4 linked regions of the Drosophila melanogaster genome follow. The protein of the gene in region 3 interacts with the protein of the main gene of each other region in a pairwise test. Each region holds a gene or a part of one and is shown on either strand. Other genes may lie near its edges. The genes, in order: Pura, Grx3, CG33095 and nuf.

What was found.
Region 1: the proteins of CG33095 (region 3) and Pura interact in a two-hybrid assay, tested with the Drosophila melanogaster proteins (one large-scale study listed by BioGRID).
Region 2: the proteins of CG33095 (region 3) and Grx3 interact in a two-hybrid assay, tested with the Drosophila melanogaster proteins (one large-scale study listed by BioGRID).
Region 4: the proteins of CG33095 (region 3) and nuf interact in a two-hybrid assay, tested with the Drosophila melanogaster proteins (one large-scale study listed by BioGRID).

Annotation. Positions count from the first base shown.
Region 1 is NT_037436.4:7,591,419-7,596,104, forward strand, and holds the start of Pura (Puratrophin-1-like), read left to right. Parts: upstream 1-1,672; 5' UTR 1,673-1,859; coding exon 1,860-2,027; intron 2,028-4,686.
Region 2 is NT_033779.5:13,364,395-13,367,910, forward strand, and holds Grx3 (glutaredoxin 3), read left to right. Parts: upstream 1-2,052; 5' UTR 2,053-2,136; coding exon 2,137-2,346; intron 2,347-2,410; coding exon 2,411-2,673; intron 2,674-2,736; coding exon 2,737-2,914; 3' UTR 2,915-3,016; downstream 3,017-3,516. Other genes in the region: Nnp-1, read right to left, coding at 1-1,682; Tap42 (Two A-associated protein of 42kDa), read left to right, coding at 3,330-3,452.
Region 3 is NT_033777.3:25,095,729-25,102,695, forward strand, and holds CG33095 (uncharacterized protein), read left to right. Parts: upstream 1-1,943; 5' UTR 1,944-1,990; exon of another isoform or gene 1,991-2,106; 5' UTR 2,107-2,277; coding exon of another isoform or gene 2,278-2,741; intron 2,742-2,805; coding exon of another isoform or gene 2,806-2,985; intron 2,986-3,046; coding exon of another isoform or gene 3,047-3,179; intron 3,180-3,467; coding exon of another isoform or gene 3,468-3,740; exon of another isoform or gene 3,741-4,057; intron 4,058-4,213; 5' UTR 4,214-4,401; coding exon 4,402-6,018; 3' UTR 6,019-6,418; downstream 6,419-6,967. Other genes in the region: fd96Cb (forkhead domain 96Cb), read left to right, coding at 1-205; CG33096 (uncharacterized protein), read left to right, coding at 2,278-2,741, 2,806-2,985, 3,047-3,179, 3,468-3,551; CG45095 (uncharacterized protein), read left to right, coding at 6,839-6,967.
Region 4 is NT_037436.4:14,218,061-14,222,744, forward strand, and holds the start of nuf (nuclear fallout), read left to right. Parts: upstream 1-1,681; 5' UTR 1,682-1,876; intron 1,877-3,379; exon of another isoform or gene 3,380-3,440; intron 3,441-4,684. Other genes in the region: CG7768 (uncharacterized protein), read left to right, coding at 323-817.

The sequences.
Region 1 (4,686 bases), on a different chromosome or scaffold from region 3:
CTACGCGATGGGAACTTCGAACTTTCTATGTGCTTGTATCCAAAATATCCGCACACAGTGAGAAATTTTTTTTTTGGTACATATTATTAGGGTGCTTAAACAAATTTGTGAAATCTTAAAACTATGAATTGGATTTAATGAAAATGATTTGCAGTGAGTGAATTATGTATGTGAATATGTGTATTGTTTATTATATTGATAAAAATCAATTTTTCCTCTGCATGTGAAACACTTGAAAGTATCGCACAGGCAACGAGATAACCATGAGAACACTTTATATATGGGCCTTTGTCGCGTGAGTGCCACTTGTCGTGTTTTTGTTGCTACCGCTGTAGCTGCAGTTGCTGTTGCACATGTTGTTGTTATAGTTGTTGTTATTGTCTGTGCCCCCTTTTTGTTGCTGCGCTCGTTTTCTCGCTGTTCTCATTCTAAACAATGCAAATGCAGCGTCAGCGGCTCTGCCAGCAACATTAGCATAAATAAATAAATAACCGTACTGGCAACGAGCGGGTAAATAACAAAATAGCAACACGGCCAGCAGACCGACCACAGCCAGTAACATTAATCTACGCTCCAAAAGCTTTCCGATAGACGTTCCATGGGCTTTTATCCTCCTCGCATTTTACGAGTATAGCAGACACCCAAAACACTTGTTTGCCTTCGTCGCCTAGCGGCGCTTGCACTTCGAAGACTGGGCGCGGTACAAGGGATCGCCTAGAAACGCCCACACACGAACTAGTGCAAGTACAGTGGTAATATGATATGGAGAAATGCCCGATTAAAAGTGTATAAAATATTTTTTTTAATTTTAAAACAAATTTTGCACTACCATGGGCGTTAATCTTTCTTTGTTTTAATATTTCTAAATTAAATAATAAATATTAAACATTAACATTAACATATTAAATATTAACATGAAACGTCGTATACTGCCACTTGACAAGGAAGATAATTTCAAAAATATTTGATTATTCCAAATTGTACATTCCATTTAATAATCTAATTTGGATATATATGTATATTGTATATTTTGAACTGAGTCACATACCAAATTTGACCACCCATTTTAGTTGTTTTGCGACCAATGTGCCTAGGCCGCCGATTACAAAAGCAACACCTTCGCCTTCACCGTAAAATGGGCCTCCCCTGCGTGTTTCACATGTGTCGCATGTGACTACCGTGGATTTTGCAGCCGCTTCTGCCGGCAATCAAATTGAGTGCAAAGCTCGGTTAAAAGCCGAGTATTCAAGTATTCGAGTGTTCGGACAGCAGAAGAGGTGTGATGTTTGATGGGTGTGTGTGTATGTGTGCAGCGAATGCAAAAACAGTTTCGATTTTTTTTTCAATTTTTCCACCTTCTGTTTTTGTCTCGATTCGGTGGGGCCCCAACTTATTGCATTATTTATGTACGAGTAGTACGATTTTTCTGGGTTCCCCAGTAAGCCACACGCACACGGTCCGCACCAGAAAATTGTATAAACAAAACGCGGAAAGCAACAAAAAAAAAAAAACGTTAAAATAAAAAAAAAAACAGTATAAGTATCAGTAGCGGTGACAATCGCAAGTGCAGGGCTCTCTCTCTGTCTCAAGTCTTGAGTCTCAAGTCGAGGAGTCTACTGCTCACACTCACTCAAAGTTTGCCGAGGTGGAGAAACAAACTCGGCGGCATTCTCAGTCAAACAACAAACGCAACTGAAGTAACAACGGTTCCGTACCGCGTACCGCCCCCAAAACAAAAGTGAAATTCTATTAGCTACCCGCCGTCTTGGCCAATCCGCCCAGGAATATCGCAGTGCTTAGCCATTCGCGAAAGTTATGGTATTTGATTCCGTTGAAAATCGGACTGAGTGCTGTGCTTAATGTTCCAGCTGCGCCGGGAAGTGTGGAGCGAGCGGTTGGGAGTCTGGGTGCAGCGCGTCCTCGTCATCGTCCTGCATCTGTGGCACCGCTCCAGTATGTCCTTTGTCCGGCGTCGCCAGGAGGCGTTCAAGTGGATTAGGCGCCGACTGGCCAGAAGGCAGTGTCACGTGAGTACACCGAAAGAAATAGGGTAGTAGCAACGTGACCACATCATTTAGCCACTTCTAAAGCCATTAAACTGATATACTTAATCTCAGTTGCTACAGAATTTAATGGGCTTTGAAATGAGATCATTGGTGAACAAATAAATATATAGACTTGACTGGATAGAGTCAATGTGGAAATAGAATAGCTATGTATTTAGGGTATTCTCTTGAAGTAGTTGCTCAATTTATCAATTACGAAAGCCAATGAGCGAGTGTTATTCGAATTTCAATATTTTAAGGCTGCTTTAGACATTACTAAACAGCTGTTTACTACTTTTTTAATAGCCAGCTTTAACAGAATATTAACGAAGTTGCATAGCCAAAATGAAATTGACACTGATCACAGGAGTACCATTAATCTACAAGAACAACTTAATAAATAGAAGCATCTGTGTAGTCATTAATATTATTCGCAAAAAGTGACTTTTTTCATTACCTTAGTACTTAGCACTTTCTAGAGTCAATAAAGTCAGTGCTCTATTATACAGGCCGGCAAAATAAGTTTTGTATTTTATCAAGGTATGCCTAATTACTAACCCTGAACATGTTTTTGTCCCTTTTCTGACTATCCAATTAGAGTTATGTATTTATTACCCAACTTAGATCATCCTGCACTAGATCCCCAAGTGGGTCATCACTCCAGCTCACAACCTTTAGATTTTAGCTGGAATTCAATTAAAAGTTATTCAGCCAGGCTGCAAATTCAATTAACTACAATCATTTCGGGCATTCGGTGCAATTTTTAGCTAATTCTGGTTTTCCTGCGAATCGGGGCACAGCCGGCTGCTGAAGAAGGGTTAGAAAAGTTTAGCACTCGCGTGACTCGCTATAATTTCTCCATCGGAGTTGCTGGTTTGAATTGGTCTGAGCCCAAGTTGGCCACTGTCTGAGGCTTTGTTCCGTTTCCGCTTTCCGCCCGCTCTGCCTGGATGGGTGTGTCCATCGACCTGGCGGAGACATAGGCTTGGTTCTATATAATTCCATCCCCTGGCAGTCGGGAAAACTCCCCAACAACCCCCCAACTATTTTAGCCCGCCAAACAGTTGGCGTTGAGCGATTATGGCTGTCAGCTTGAAAGGCACTTTCAGCCTGTTATCAATTCAAACAAACGCCAAAATGCCACAAATGTGAAAACCGACCGACAGTCGAGGAGCCGCTAAGAGGCCTCCAAATTGTGCAAATCAAATTGAATGCCGTTTTATGAAAGTTGAGTTGACTTTGCCGGTGATTTTTGGCAATTATCTGTAGCTGGCATTTGTGCGATTTCGAAATTTTTGTGTTTGTAACAATGCGGATCTCAAACAGAGCACGTAGGGGTTAAGCTGAACGCCCATGGCATATTAAAAAGTTTTCTAATATTTAGGCTGCAAACTGATATAAACCAATAGACTGCAAAATGGGTGATTTATTTTTATGTTACTGGTCTGAAGGGAAACTGAATTTTCAAATAGCTGAAATGCGGCAATTGCATGCATAAAGTTAATTGTAAAATTCTAAAATATTATAATGCATATGATTAACGTAAATTAGAAAACTATTTGTAAAGGGCATATGATATATGATATACGTAGTCATTAAGCCCGGAATCAAATCACGAACTAGTGAATCACAAAAAGCTTAGGAATTAATTGATTTTAATTGACTGCGGAAATATTGATACTCTTACTCACAACCCAATTTGCTGTGCAACTTTATTCTAATGCCCGTTCGCATTCGCAAGTGGAATATATGGCAGACCCACCGGGAAGAGCACTTAATAGTTATATTTATGGGCCATCGGTGGAGCCCATATATTGTTTATCCCGCTGGCAAATGTTTATTCGCACCACTTGAAGTTTCAGCGACTGCTCAGATTTTTTTTTCGTGAAACCAGAGCGAAGTAAACACTCATCGCGTGTTCCGGATAACGCAATCGCATGGGGATCTCGAAGCCAGGAACCAAAGGAATCCCGAGCTCGTTAGCGTTCCAGGGTAAGCCTGCGTCTGGCATCGTAAACAAATGCCCGTCAAAAGGCATTCAGCTAAACACCGACAAAGTAGCAAACAAAATATATGTGGACAGCCAGCCCTTCATTTTGTATATACATATGTATAATATGGGAACTTGCCAAGTTCAAGGCAGGAGTTGAAGATGTCTATATATGATGCATTGTATCCACAATTATGGCAGAGGGATGGGCATGAAACACGGGCGGCGGCTATTCAGCGGGGCAAACAATAACATTGTGCATAAAACAGAACTCAGTCCCCAGTCGGAAATGCTGACTAAATGGAAGTGAAAGATACTGTACTATAAGATACTCTATGAACTGGGAAGAGAAGTATTAACTATACAAATACATAAAGATAAAAAATTTAGTTATGATAATGAAGACGTAGCAGTAATGCCAGGGATTTTACTACATAAAATAGAACATAGTCCAGTTTTTGTTTAATTTTTTAATCATTTTCCTTGCATAACCAAGCAATCTTGCAGCCCGCAATAATTGGGCATTGATCTGCATAATACTTTGGTTATTTATATGTATATTTTTTGAGTTGTCGAAAGTCCAAACAATTAGATTGAAAAGCAACGTTCTCGGAAATGTATGTAAATGTATTCCTTCGCTGATTGTATTCT
Region 2 (3,516 bases), on a different chromosome or scaffold from region 3:
GTTTTGGGAGTCGGCTTGGCCTTGGACTGTCCCTCCACCTTAGGTGTGGGCTTGGGCTGCTCGTCTGTCTTCGGCTTCGACTGCTCCTCCTTCGTCTTGGAGTGGTCCAATTTCTTGCGCTTCGCAGGCTCTTCTTTTTCTGCCTTCAAGGTCGGTTGATCCTCTATCTTGGGCTTGGACTGGTCATTCTTCGGCTTAAGCTGGCTTTTCTTCTTCACCTTCGTCTGGTCATCTTTGTTCTGCTGTGGCGGTTCTTCCTTTTTTGCTTTCTTCGACTTGGGCTCGGCCTCCTTGACCTCCTCTACTACCCATGCGTTGTTTATGCTAGAACGCACCTTTGCATTGTAATTCACCTTCTTCTGCAGCTCAGGAGGCAGAGCCTTGCTAATAACCTCATCGTAGTTGTGCTCGTCCACCTCCTCAAAGTTAATGGACTGCAGTAGGCGTTTGCGTTTGGATTTGTTGAGCTTCTTCAGTTTTCTTCCGGTTGCAAAGACCTCGTCCTCCATCTTATCTAAGGCAGCCACTTTTTGCTCCACCATTTCGGACAGAGTTTGTCCCTCCACCTTTGGCATTGTCCTCACGCCAAGTGGAAACTCTCCTCTCTGGTAAGTCTCAAAGATCTGGATAAGTTTGCGCAATCCCTTGCGTCTCTTGCTGTTAAAATCGTTGGTGCGTAGCTGCGTCTGCAGCTCATCTAGTACGCAATCAGCGTTGAGCGGCAGCTCCGGCATGTGAACGTCCACGTTGCCCGCTCGGGGATCCAAGGATGTGGCCCGCGGCTGCTCCTCCTCGGCGTTGACCTCGTCATCCTCCTCGTCAAATCCAGAATCTAGTTTCTCAATGTCATCAATGGAGGCGGTGGGGAAACCCATCTGCTTCCAGGCATTGTACTTTTCGCTGTACTGTCGTCCTAAGTCGCTCTGGTACATCAGATGATAGAGTACCCTTGTGCGGCACTGTGCCACTAGCTTAGCATCGCGTTGTGTAGCAATGTAGGTGACAAACGGACGCAAGAACATATTAACCTGAGCAGCAGTGATCTCACCATTGGCCGCCTTGGCCAGCTCCTCAAAGAAAACATCTAGGTAGTGCATGGTCATGCCGCGAGACTTAGGCTGCTCCGACATCACAGAAAGCTGCATGCTGCTGTTGAATGCGGCTATCAGGTCCGCATTCCAGTTGTTCTGTTTGAGGAATCTCAGTAGATAACGCACCATGCGGCGGGTGAGCATCAGGAATTTGTCCATGCGCCACTGATCTATGCCAAAGTACTCCTGGCACATTGTGCGCATAAACGCACTAAAGTAGGCCAGACTGCAGGCCGTATTACCGCCGAAGCTGTCCACCATTTGAGCCAACTTCTCGGCCAGCTCCTCCTGCACCAGCGGCTTATCCGACATCCACATGGTGTAGTACAATCCCTTCCAGATGCGCATGAAGTCGTCCTCGTTGAAGGGAAAGGAGCTACCGGCACGCGCCTTGAACCACTTGCGCAAAATGCGGATCTGGCGATTACGCTCCACCACATCGTTGCAGGCAAGAGCACGTATAATTTTCACCTCCTGGGCGACCACCATCAGCTCCTTGGCCACCTTCGGCTGTGAAGCGTCCTCCTCCTGCTCGACCTGGATTTCGGCCGCCTCGGCGTTGCGCTTAACTGGCTTCTTGCGCGTCACCATTATCCGGCTAATTCAACTTTTAGTTGCGAAAAATAAGTGAGCTGTGTATATTGAATACGGTACGGCACGACCGCACGTGTTGCCGTTCGATGTTGCCAGATGTTGAAACGACATTTTCTCCAAATTTCGTCCAACAGCTCTAAATGCATGAGCTGTACTGAAAATGACAACAAAAACTCAAGCTAATGAAATAATTTTCAAAGAATAAAATAAAGAAAAAAAGAATAATAAAAAGAATATTTAAATTGCTAGTTTTGATACTTCATGAAACGCTTGCTTTATACATTTTAATACAATTTTATATATTTTTAGCCATTTATAGGTTGTTATTTTATAGCTACCAGCGCTGACTTCTTTACGGAAAGTGGCAACTCTCTTCCACAGCTGATAATTCGGTCTGCTTTTTGTAAATTTTGCTTGTCCAGCAAATTTAGTTAAATAATTCAAAGAAATCATGCCCGTGGTGAACGTGTCGGCTGCCGAGGAGTACCAGAAGTACATTAATGCGGATAAGACGACCGTAGCTCTATTCGCCGCCGAATGGGCAGAGCAATGCGGTCAGGTGAAAGACGCGCTGGAGGAGCTGGCCAAGATTACTGGCGAAAAACTGCAGTTCATCAGCCTAAACGCTGAACAATTTCCCGAGATTTCCATGAAACATCAGGTACGCTCGTATTTATTTTATGAAAATATAACAGTAGTTCCTCATTCATTTGCGATGCCACCAGATCGAGGCCGTGCCCACAGTCATATTCTTCGCCAAGGGCTCCGCCGTTGACCGTGTCGATGGTGTAGACATCGCCGCCATAAGCGCCAAATCCAAAAAGTTGGCCGAAAACGCAAGCAGCGCGGCGGCAACAGGACAAACGTTGGAGGAACGCCTAAAGGCCCTAATCAATACAGCTCCGCTGATGATATTCATGAAGGGCGACCGAAATGGACCGCGTTGCGGATTCTCCAAGCAGCTCATCGGCATTGTGAACGAAACCAAGTATGCAAATTGATCATCAGTTGTATTTGATTTCAAGTTATAAACGAAAATATCCTTCGATAGCTTGCCGTACGAGACATTTGACATCCTCGGCGACGAAGAAGTGCGTCAAGGCCTGAAAACCTACTCCGACTGGCCCACATATCCCCAGGTTTACGTCAAGGGTGAACTTATCGGCGGACTCGATATTATTAAGGAACTGCTGGCGAACAATGAGCTCGAGTCCACGCTAAAGGGCTAATTCCATCGGATTGCATCTACTCCTACAGACACCATAAACCAGAAACAAATTTTTAGCTAGATCCTTAGACTTTTTAATGGTTTAATAAAGGATTTTTGCTACATTCTGGTATTATTTTATTCATCGAAATTTTTAATAACAATTGTATTAAAGCAAATGTGCTATAGGTCATCCATAAGACATCTTACACGGGCTTCAATGGTGTCACCATAAATGTTTACAAACTTAACGACATAAATATAGCTAGAAATTTGTAAGAACTTTTTTATACACCAGCCCTGGTTTATCTGGTATTTTGCGTACCTTCATTTTGTAAACAGCTGTTTCGGCGTCGGCATCTTGCACATTATTTTCGCAATATTATTTATATTATTGAAAATACCCATTAACTATAAACTTATATCCAAATCTTTAAATGGCTGAGGGTAATACCGCTGGCGGAGAGGACCAAAAGCTGACGGACATCTTTCTAAAGGGCTGGAACATATTCGACGAGCTAGAAGTTACCGAACTGCCCTTCAATGGCAGCGAATTTCAGGTGTGTAATATTGAAGATCTTCATATATATGTAATAAAAACCAGCATTGAACGTTTACCACAAC
Region 3 (6,967 bases):
GGGATTAGTGCCCATGGAGTACGGCAGTCCCGATGCCGTCGCGTTGGAAAAGCCGCCGTTTAATTTGCCATTCAATTTCAACGAACTCGCCGCGCAGTATCAGTTATACTTCCCAAGTTTTTTCTACAACGGCCAATATGGCAACATACCTTGCTACCAGAAAACACCGCCGCTTTTTCATAACGGCCCGTTGCCCGTCTTTTGATTATGAAAGTTATAGTTAAACTAGAGTTAAACCAAGCTATGTCTAAAACATACTCACTAGTGGTCCTATTATTGTAATCTTATGTTATTTACTTGTGTACTCATCTTATTTAAACGAAGCCGTATTGTAAACAGTTGAGTTTAGAAGATCTCTAAAGTCAATAAAGAACTGCCTATAATTGTATTAAATGTTTGTTTAAACTATACAACTATGTAGGTCTGTGAAGTCTAGCTGTAGCACCCGATACTTTATTTTTTTATTTTAGTTTACCATTAGAATAATGTGTAAAACCCATAATTATTATCTCCGTCGTGAAGTTTAAACTGTGTATTATTTGCAATTCCTATTGCCACAGGGAATATACTTATGTACATAACTAACATCCAATCTATTTGGTTCCTTAGATAATTGCAGCTCGAAAACAAACTACAGGTTGTAAATATATAAATAGACGCCGATTAATTCGATTACAGGTCGAAAATAGGTCCGCAATGGTTAACTTGCCTTCCTACCTTGTTTTGCAAATCATTTGCATCTCACACATGCACACACACGTATTCGAATTGCTTTTGTTTCCATTAGCTGTCAATCATCCTTACATATGTTTGACTTCAACCCTAGTCGGAACACCTCGCCTTCGCTACCATCCATATCCATATCCACATCCACTTCCACATACATTATAAAACACCCATTGGAAAGAAGGGGGAGCGGGGTCGTCGGTCGATACGGCGCGGAATGTAGTTTGTTATGTCTTACAAGAAAGGTGGCACAGACTTGGAAGCCGAATTTTGAAATACTTTACTACATAAATTCAATGATCTACAGAAAATATTTTAACGAAAAAATGGTTGAAAGTTGCTTTTATCTAGGGAAAGTCCTGTAAACTTAAGTGTTTTTGATCTCAGGTTATTATTTTGATCTTCCAGATGAAACTGTAATATTCAAAACATAAGTCTATTGGCCAATATTAATACAATACACATTATTACTTAACATCCTTAAAGTCATGGGATAATATCAGGTTGTTTTATGCATGGGATAAGATCAGGTTGTTTTATGCGCATTGGTCTTATGGAATAGCATTCTCTAAATATGTTTATTACCAAACTAGGATTCTTCAAATGAGCCCGGGTGAAATCCTTTCTCCATAGAAACTATAAAAGTAGGAAACAATTTTGGTTTGGTACAACCAATTAGTTGTAGGACTACGTATTATGTACCAAATTTGAAAAATGTGCATACAAACATTCGTTATGTACATAAACGTGAAGAGTTATGTATGACATAACTTTATAAAGTATTGAAGCAGATAATATTGAAACAAATCCGATTTACATGCACAAAATATTTAAGGGCTCTTATATATATGGGCTACTTCATAGCTGGACACATCTCAAAAACTGTGGATACTTTTTATATAAAATTTTCCCCAAATTTACTTTAAAATATTCCTCTAAGGTGGTCTGCATTTTTGAACACGCTTTGTGAGAGTTTTTAAAAACTATTTGCAGATTTGCAGGCACACATTTCATGACAGGTTTTAAATCATCATTATTGAAATGTATTTGCCTAACAAGGCAAATGAATATGAATGAATAAATATATCCCTCGTTCCGATTCCAGTTCGTTCTGGGGAAAATAGAGATTCGATTCGCTGGTGTTTTGTACTCGCTGCCCAGGCGGTCACACTAAAAATACCAAAAGCGCCGTTGTTTTTTAGGGCGTTTTAGCCACCTTACTTCTTTGTGGTTGTTTGCCTATCTACATTGCCATTTTGTAAATGTGAGTGTACCAAATTTCAGTAAGACAATTTACCCATTAACCGTTCGATTATGTTGAATTCTGTGTGCGAACTGAGCCCGAAATGTTATGTTTGTCTCGTCACCCCCGTCGCCTAGCCCACTGACATCTTGCTCGTCCACGTATAGATGATATAGACGCGAATTGGCCCGAACCCGAAGTCTGAACCCAAAAACTCCGTTAGTCCTTTGTTGATGGTAATCGTGCATTTGAGGCGAGAAATCGAAATCGTTAGCATTCCGTAGAGACATTCAAGGCACGGAGCGAGCATGTTCAGTATCAGCGAGCTCTGTTGCATGTTTTGCTGCCCCCCGTGTCCGGGTCCCATTGCGGCCAAGTTGGCCTTCCAGCCGCCGGAGCCCACGTACAAATTGACCCCGGCGGACGACACCAACATCCGGTACAACCTGCAGTTGTTCGACCGCGCCGAGTGGCAGTACTCTGAACGTGAGAAATCGAAAGTGGAGGCCTTCTTTACGCGCACCTCGCGTGGCAACCTGATCACCTGCATCTATGTCAGGTGCAGCAAGAATGCCAAGTACACACTTCTCTTCTCCCACGGGAATGCAGTGGATTTGGGCCAAATGAGCAGCTTCTACCTGACCCTGGGCTCCCAGATCAACTGCAATATCTTTGGGTACGACTACTCCGGGTACGGAATGAGTGGCGGCAAGCCGTCCGAGAAGAATCTGTATGCGGACATCGAGGCTGCCTGGCAGGCGATGAGAACCAGGTAAGCTCTTCTAGTTCACCCCATTGATTCCGCTTTGCTAACTCGTTATGCACCCTCAAACCAGATTCAACATCAGCCCGGAGACAATCATCTTGTATGGCCAAAGCATTGGCACTGTGCCCACTGTGGACCTGGCCTCGCGTCACGAGGTCGGCGCTGTGATACTCCATTCGCCGCTGATGTCCGGCCTAAGGGTCGTCTTTAGGAACACAAAGAGAACCTGGTTCTTCGACGCCTTTCCCAGGTGAGATAATTCGTTGAATTGCGTTCATAGCCAATTCTAATGTTATCGGATTTCCACGCAGCATTGATAAGGTGGCTAAGGTGAAGGCTCCGGTTCTGGTTATCCACGGCACCGATGATGAGGTCATTGACTTTTCCCATGGCATCGGAATCTACGAGCGGTGTCCTAAGACTGTCGAGCCGTTTTGGGTGGAGGTAATTACTCTTGATTGATTACCCGCCTAGAGCAGGTTATGCACTTATTAAGCAGCATTTTAACCGGAATAATTATTGTTATTATTCATTCTAATAGTCTAGCGTTTTCCCTGAAATCGATTAAGTGTCTCGTATCAAGTTCACAGCTTTTCATAAACATTAAAATTGGCAATTCAATCAATCTTTCTCAGCAATGTGATCTCATCGTATCGATTCTTATTTATTTATTTAATGATATGACTTAAAACTTAGCCTAATTTGCAAACTCATGAGAAACTTTGATTTCAGGGTGCTGGACATAATGATGTGGAACTGCATCCGCATTATTACGAGCGACTGCGCAAATTTCTTTCGGTGGAACTCGTCAAATGACAATTAAAGAATAATGTGGACGGAGGCGTTAGCGACACTACATCGGGCGTAATATCTAATTCAAACCCTGCCGCCGGTAGTGCGTCCCTAAGTTCAAAGCACCCGAATCCTGCCCCTGCGGCAGGAAGCGAAACAAGTAAAAAGAATGTGGACACAAATGTCAAACGGATTGAAAACGATGGTTTGTAATTAACTATAAGTATTGCAATGTAATTATTTATTCAGCCGCATCAATACATTCGAGAATTGCATTTTTTAAAAGATTATAATTAACTAGTTGTCAGGAGACTTGCACCAAGATCCCCATTCTTACAGCATTGTGATCCTGGTCCCCGTATTAATTGAATAAGCATAGGTCATATCATCTTATACTTAACCATATTGGTAGAAAAATCAAACAATAACCGCATTAAGTTCTAAAACGATCTGTTAGCAATATGCTACAGTAATATGGTTTTAATATTTAAGGACAAGAAGTTTGAATAAAGTAATTTTTTGATACTTTGAAAGTGAACTGTTTTCTACTTGCAACCACTTTATTGTTTGGCTTCTACGCTTTTAGGAAAAACAGTGAATATCTTCTTACCATTTATGATTTGTAACTTTCTCTCTAATTTGTGATCAGCTAATGTCTAATGTGTGTGTGTTCGCTCTTCTTGCAGGTGCCTCAAATTCCAGCCAGAGTTCTACTAAAGCTCTCGAGCAGAAGTTTCTTTAGCAAAAACAGTCGGGCTCATATTCAAAAGCCCAACCCTTCTCACCACAGTTCCCAAGCAGGGAACTATCAAGTAAATCGTGCGGAAACAGACATAGTAAACAAAATAGGAAAGATGACCCACCATTAACCGATATGAAGTCGAACGGCTTCTTTGTTTCTCGTTTAAAACAACCAAATATTGCTCCAACACTTCCAGTACTTTCTCCACATTCACCAATGAATGCTAATATACATATAAATAGCCAGCATACCCAACTTTCCGGTCGATATCTAAATAACAAAGTGTCCCAACAAATCGACACTGAAAGTATAAAAAGAGTGGCATCTAACCGATCTCTAAAGGACAGTCAAAACGTCTTATCCATTTCATCAACTCTAATATGCAACTGCGAGAAGGCCCAAAAATCGAATGGCTCAGAAGCGGAAGCAAACGAAGAAATCAAAATTAAACTGAGCTCAGATACTGGTAACAAATCTACCATTAGTAAATTAAAAGACCCGAAACTCTCTTCAGCGTCGGAAAAAAACGCATTAGATAATTCAACCGAGGGTTGTTTGCAATTGAAAAGTGTAATTGGAAAGGAGCAAAAATCGCTGTCTCCGAGACTGACGTTACACAAGAGTGGGTTTCAACAGGCCATCATAATTTCCGACGACAGTGAGAACACGAAGTCTTCGCGATTAGGTACCCAAACAGCAAGGCAGCTCTCCAGTAATTCAGACAATCAATTTTATCGACAGCTTACCCATAAGATTAGCAAATCGGAGCAAACTTCCCCAAACAACTTGGAGCTAGACAAAGCTAACTTTCTCTACGATACGAACAATAGGAGTACGGGCTGTTTGGTGTATCCTTCGGATCCATGGATAAAGAACTCGCATATTAAGAACAGCTTGTCCCCCAAAACGGAAAAGTATTCAAACACCATGCATCACAATATCGATCCGTGGGTCAAGAGACAAACAGATGCTGCTGTGGAAATCTCACGGCTTCCCAAGAAAAATTTCTACCGCGAAAAATCCCTTTCTTCCATAAACAATAAACTAATTTCGACCAGAACTGAGAAATCAAAGTGTGCAAAGCCGCAGTTGAAGCATTCGAAAACGGAGCTGGACGATGATCAAGTATTTTTAAATGAGCCAGGATTGCTTTTTGCTCCATTCTCTCCGCAATATCGCAACACGTCGCATAAAATCTGGTCTCTCGACCAGCCTTCTAACGATCTGAAAGCCAACATTCAAAGCAAGTCAGCTAGTTTTTTACCGGACAAGGTGAAGGAGATATCCAGTCCATTGCCGAACCATGTTAGAAAATCTGTACAACAAAACAATAGTAATTTGCTGTGTCCGAATGTTCAAGCAAGATTATTGCTTCAAGTAGAAAAGCTGCATTCTAGACACAGCTCCCTATCGATTCCCACTCAATCGAAGGATGAACTACCCCTGAACATCCGTCGACTGTCCGAGCAGATCCGTGAACCGCCTTTGGAGAAAAACATCTCATTATCCCTCAGCGATCGTAACGTTAGCAAAATTCCGACATCTGATGGCGTGGGCGAGGCTCACCTGGTTGCCCCTCACAAGATGGACAAATTTCATGTGAGTAGGGATGCCGCAGTGCAGAGTACAAGCCACCTTGAAGACTTTATATCCCTACAACGAGGCCCCAAAGATTCCACAATTGTTAATAATGTAAACCCCTTTACGAGTACTTATAAGCCTGATCCACTTTTAGAAACCACCTGTTAAAACCATTTGCTAGGAAGCCGAAAACCGAAAGCCGATATTAAAGTGTCTCTGCATAGCTCATTCATAGGTCATGAAAATATACAAAATATAAAACCACAAAAAACATACATACATATATGTCTTATATATCAATCGAATCTAAATATGAATAATAAACAAGTAATAAATAATAATTTTAGTAGTACCTTAAGTTTGAAATTTTTACAGTGATTTTGCATTTATATTAAGTAACACTATAATGCCCTGCCAACAATATGGGGCTAAGTTTTAGGCTTAACTACATTCGCAAAGCATATATATGTGTGTAATAGTGTATTTTCTCCTCATTTTATTGTCATTTTACATATTTGTTGTAATACATTTTATAGTAATAAAATCTTTATAAAGAGCTAAGTAACGCATCTAGTTGTTATTCATTGGCCGCCTGTTGTGTGGGGGGTTTGAAAAGTTCCCAAATGTACAATGGTTTTTAAACTCTTAAAGTTGAGAAAATATTACGCTTTCACTGCTTTTTGTTTATATTCATACTCTTTCAGAGAAACTTTTATACAATTGGTTGGTTTTATGAACGTATTAATTTGACAACCCACGCAAATCAAGCCTCTATTAATTGCATTCGATTTGACTTTCACCGAAAAACAAGCAAATTAAGCTCGCTTTGGATAAGGCCCATAGTTGGGATTCGTTGACATAATCCGAGCAATTCAGAGTGTATTTATGTAATCTGGAATCCATATAAAGTCCGAATGCAAAGCGGATTAAAGACAGTTGTTGATAGTCTCTTGTGAAAACATTTGTTCACTTCATACAAAAAAAAAAAATGCTTTGGATAAGAGTGCTTGTGGCGTATAGTATAATTTTATTTGGAAGTTTCCACGGAGAGTGTGCTGCCGTTCATAAAGATAATAATACATATAATTCAACAAAAAACTCTCTTATTGAAGCTCAG
Region 4 (4,684 bases), on a different chromosome or scaffold from region 3:
ATATACCGATCATTTGCAATGTATTAAAAATTGTGGAAGCCAAAGCAGGCATTTTTTTTTGCTACTGGATTTTATAAAGAAGGCTGTGAAATGAATTTCAACGAGCCCTTACTTCAGATCCCTGACTAGCCCAGAATATTCGTCAGTTCAGTTCCAGCTGTTCTACTGTACGGTTCTCTTGAAAGTCGTTACTTTTTTTTATCATAAAGCTGACACCACCAAGTTATCCGGTAAATATATTTCTTGTTTTTGAACAAGGCATCGTTCGATTTTAAACCTAATAGATCTGGCTTTTCTCCGAAAATTTTCGGCATCTGCGAAGATGTCGTTGCCACGCGTTTACTTCGATATAGCCGCAGGAGGTGAGAAGTTAGGTAGAATTGTGATGGAACTACGTTCGGATGTGGTGCCCAAGACGGCGGAGAATTTCCGGGCCCTCTGCACCGGAGAGAAGGGGTACGGCTACAAGGGATCACCATTCCACCGCGTCATCCCGAATTTCATGTGTCAGGGCGGTGATTTCACTAATCAAAACGGAACTGGAGGACGCTCCATTTATGGAAACAAGTTTCCCGATGAGAATTTCGAGCTAAAGCATACCGGAGCTGGTGTACTTTCGATGGCCAATGCTGGGGCCAATACCAATGGATCTCAGTTTTTCATTTGCACCGGGAAAACCACATGGCTGGATAATAAGCATGTCGTGTTCGGCAAGGTCGTTGAGGGAATGGATATCGTCCAGAAGGTAGAATCTTACGGTTCACAAGATGGGAAGACCAGCAAGAAAGTAATTATCGAAGACTGCGGAGCCCTCTGAAGGGTGTCAATACATAATAGTGCTGTCAATCACACATTTACACTATTACACTGAAATTATACTTTTCAAGAAAACTTTGCAAAATAAAAGGGGGTGCAAAAAAATGTATTTTGTCGGTTCAACTATTTACATCGCTCTCATATGTTACGCATTTCAGACCAATTCGTTGAATAATCCGGTGCACCCTGAACAGCCCAGTTCCCTGACTCATTTTCCTTTGATTTTTCTTTCCATTACTTTTAATTGACTCAATTTAGTTCAAGAGTTGCTCACATATGTCGCTTTTGATTCTTTCCACTCGATTCTCATTCTGTCTCCCATCACCTTTCCCTCAAGCCATTCTATCCACTTTACCCGAATGCACTTTGCAAATGTCTATTAAGTCACATACACTGATGAAAAAAAAGAATTAACCACCAGTAATACATATGTATATGTTTGGTAAAGTGCACTTTACTAAATACATTCAAAAACTCAAATTGAATCCATTATTTTTTAAATATATTCTGCAATATAAGTTTTGTTTAAACAAATATTATATTTGGAAGTTAGTATTTCTTTTCAAACCTAAAAACACCTGGCTAACTATGTTATACAATGTGTATATGTGTATGTGCATATAAGCCACTCAGCAAACAAAATTTTCTTTTCTCAAGTGCATGTAATACGAATTTCCAACACTGCTAAGTCACATTAGTGGAATTTTTCTATTGCGTTCGTTTTGCTTTGGGGCTCTGTTTTTTTGTATTTCTTTTCGTTATTTTTTCGGGCACCCAAAACAAGTCGCGGCTTCTGCCGACGTCGACCGAGGCAGCGGCAGAGGAGGGGCCGCGACTTGGCGCTGGCTTTTCAGCGCTTTCCTCTCTCAGATTGCATTTAACGCTTGCCGCGTTCACAACACTAGAAAAGCGGAGCAGCGCATCGAACGGTCGCCCTGTCTCTCACTCTCTCGCGCTCTCTCGCGCGGGTGTTTTGTTGTTGGGCAATGCAATTGCCAAGGAAAAGGAAAATGCAGCTGCTGCTGCTGCTCTCCTAAGCAAAATAGCCAAATTAAAAAAGGTTCGAAATTCGAGAAAATTAACCCAAAGTTACCTCAATTCGTGTGTTTTTTGTGTGTTACCTATTATCGATCGAATTCGCTTATCAGCTGTGTCAGGTGCCTTTGGCTCATTAACCGCTTATTTAAGGAAAAATGTGAAATCAAAACAAATTCGTTAATGACAGGGTCTGTTGTGAAAACCCGTAATCAAAGTAGCCTTGTTCGGCTCATGTTTCTAATTTTCATACCCTCTGGCAAATATATTGGTTGATTGATCTTAAATTGAAAAGTGCGGTTGAATCAGTTTGCCAAGTGTTTTATCGAAACATAAAAAATGGAAATCAAGTGTGGCATAAAATTGATAAATGATACAATAAATGGGACAAAATGAAAGAAAAAATAAAATAGCTTTAAACAATTCAAAGCAATTCTTCGTTATGGGGCGTTAAAAGTTGAAAAAACACTGACGGTAATTGATGAAGTAAAACGAAGAAAGATAAGGTGATCAAATTTGCAAAACCGGCACAATGTAAATTAATTGTGCTTTTTGTGTTGATTTTTTTTATTATTAATGGAGACAAGTTTAAGTATTTTCTTAAAAAGTTTAGTAAACTTAGGAAGATGAAAAAAAAAAAATAATATTGCCTCTTTAAAAATCAAGTCTTGTTTTCATTGCTTTCGGCAGTTTCTACATTCAAAGGGAATTAAATAAATCAAGGGCTTCCACCGAGAATAACGCATAGCAGTTCCAAGTTCATTCATTATACATAACTCGTACTTCTTAATTTCTTTTACTAGGCATTTTCCGTACCGTTAAGTTTGGTAGGAAAATATTCTTTCATTAGCGATGGTTCGTCAATTAGTAGGCATATAAATCTAACGGCACAGTGCCCTAACAGCACAGAAGACAACTAACCGGAACTGAAAACTAGCACTAAAAACCAATAAGTAAAAGGCCTAAGGTAGCCGCAATAACAAAAGAACGGAAAAGACCCTCTGATGACATCAACAAAAAGGGGGTGTACGAAAGAGATGGGACGAAATGGATGGAGATTACCATCCAATCCCGCATGCGTCCCGTTACTCTTGCTTTTCGGTTCGTGTCCACGCTTATTCACTTGCGCTTTTATTTAGTAATGAGTAAAACATATACATACATACGTATGTATGCATATATGAACATATGATGGGAGGCATTTTGGGAGCGGTTGGCTTGGGGTGACCGTATATAAATTCCACATAATTATGCGCTGTCCCTGACTCAAAAACCATATGTTCAAAATAAAGGAGGCGGGCGGATTCGGCGAGAGAATCACCCTCGGACATATGGCGAAAAACTTTTCCTTTGGGGGATCGGATCGCTCTCTTTCTTCGGTCCCTTGTCATTGCTCTTGTTTGTTGATTATTATTTTTTCCTATTTATAAAGATTGCGCCTCCCCAAATTCGCTCTCCCAGTCTCTCATTTTTCTCTCTATCGCTGGCGACTGCCTCGGTTTATTTTGCCCCTGAATTTCTGGTTCATTCAGTTTGCTTTTCGCGTTTCGCGTGCTTTAATCGAAATTTGTTTTTCTCCCTCGATTGTGGTTGTAATAAAATACATAATACACCATTTTAAATAATCGAAAAAATTAGCTATTCACTTTTAAAATTGAAAAATATTTGTGAGATCGCGGCACAGATTATTGAAGATCATAAAATCGGCAGGAAAATTAAAAATATTTTAAAGGATTGCATCATTAGTTTTTGGTTCTTTTAAGCAAAAGCTTTCAAGAAAGTTATAGAATACATAATAGTACATTAAAAATAATCAATGACAATTTTTTTTCAAGTTCTTATGTATATGATTCCCATATAATTGATGCAAAGTCTTTAAATATACATTTGTTTGAAATCATGAATATTTTATGTGGTACTCAGCATTCCTGATCCAATTTCGGCTAATCATTGTATATTTTACAACCTTTTTGTTGTAACTTGTTCACTTCACTTTGTTGCATGAAAAGTGCACAGCAGCGAAGTAAAATTTGCATTTAATGAGCTCCCCTCGTTCGACTCATCCCCATTTTCACCCCTTCCTTCGTCGACCATTGTATGCAAATCTTTGTGGAATTCAATTTTGCTGAAGAGTAGCTAATGATAATTTTCTATTATGCTGTTTTTGATTGCCTGACATGGGCGAGGAAAAAATGGTTGAAGAGATATGATAATCCAAAAATATTCAGCTGACAAGAAAGGAAAGTTTACTTCATTAGCAAATTAGTTTTAGTTGAATTGAAATCAGATTATTCGGTTACTTACTGTACTTGTATTGAAGGAATTGGATTGTATTTTGATAAGGGTTTCCAAATCATTTGTAATAAAGTTGTATTTTATTTATTTGAATGCTTATTTCGTAAATCAACTTGGAATCATTCAAAGCAAATAAAGTTCTTTAAAAAGTAAAATCTTTATCAGTCATGCCCTGCTTTTAATTGGCCCTCATATTGACCTTTATTTAAATTTGTATGTGATAACGTGAAAATGAAGCTTTGACAAGGGCACCTTAACTATACACGTCGCCGAACGATTTGATAAGACTAAGAATGATTCAGTTTACTAGACTACAAAAGTAAACAGCACGCCACAAATTCCAAGTAAAAGAAAAGCAAACTTAGCCAGCCATTGCATTTTCTGGTAATTAGAAACTAGGCGGGAATTCAAAACCTGAGGAACAAAATAACAATGAAAATAGGGAGAGGTTGGAAAATAGCTGTACGACGAGGATATGTAAAATTGTCTAGAATTCTGCTCAAAGTCTGAACAAAATAATTTTACGGTCTGTTGGTTC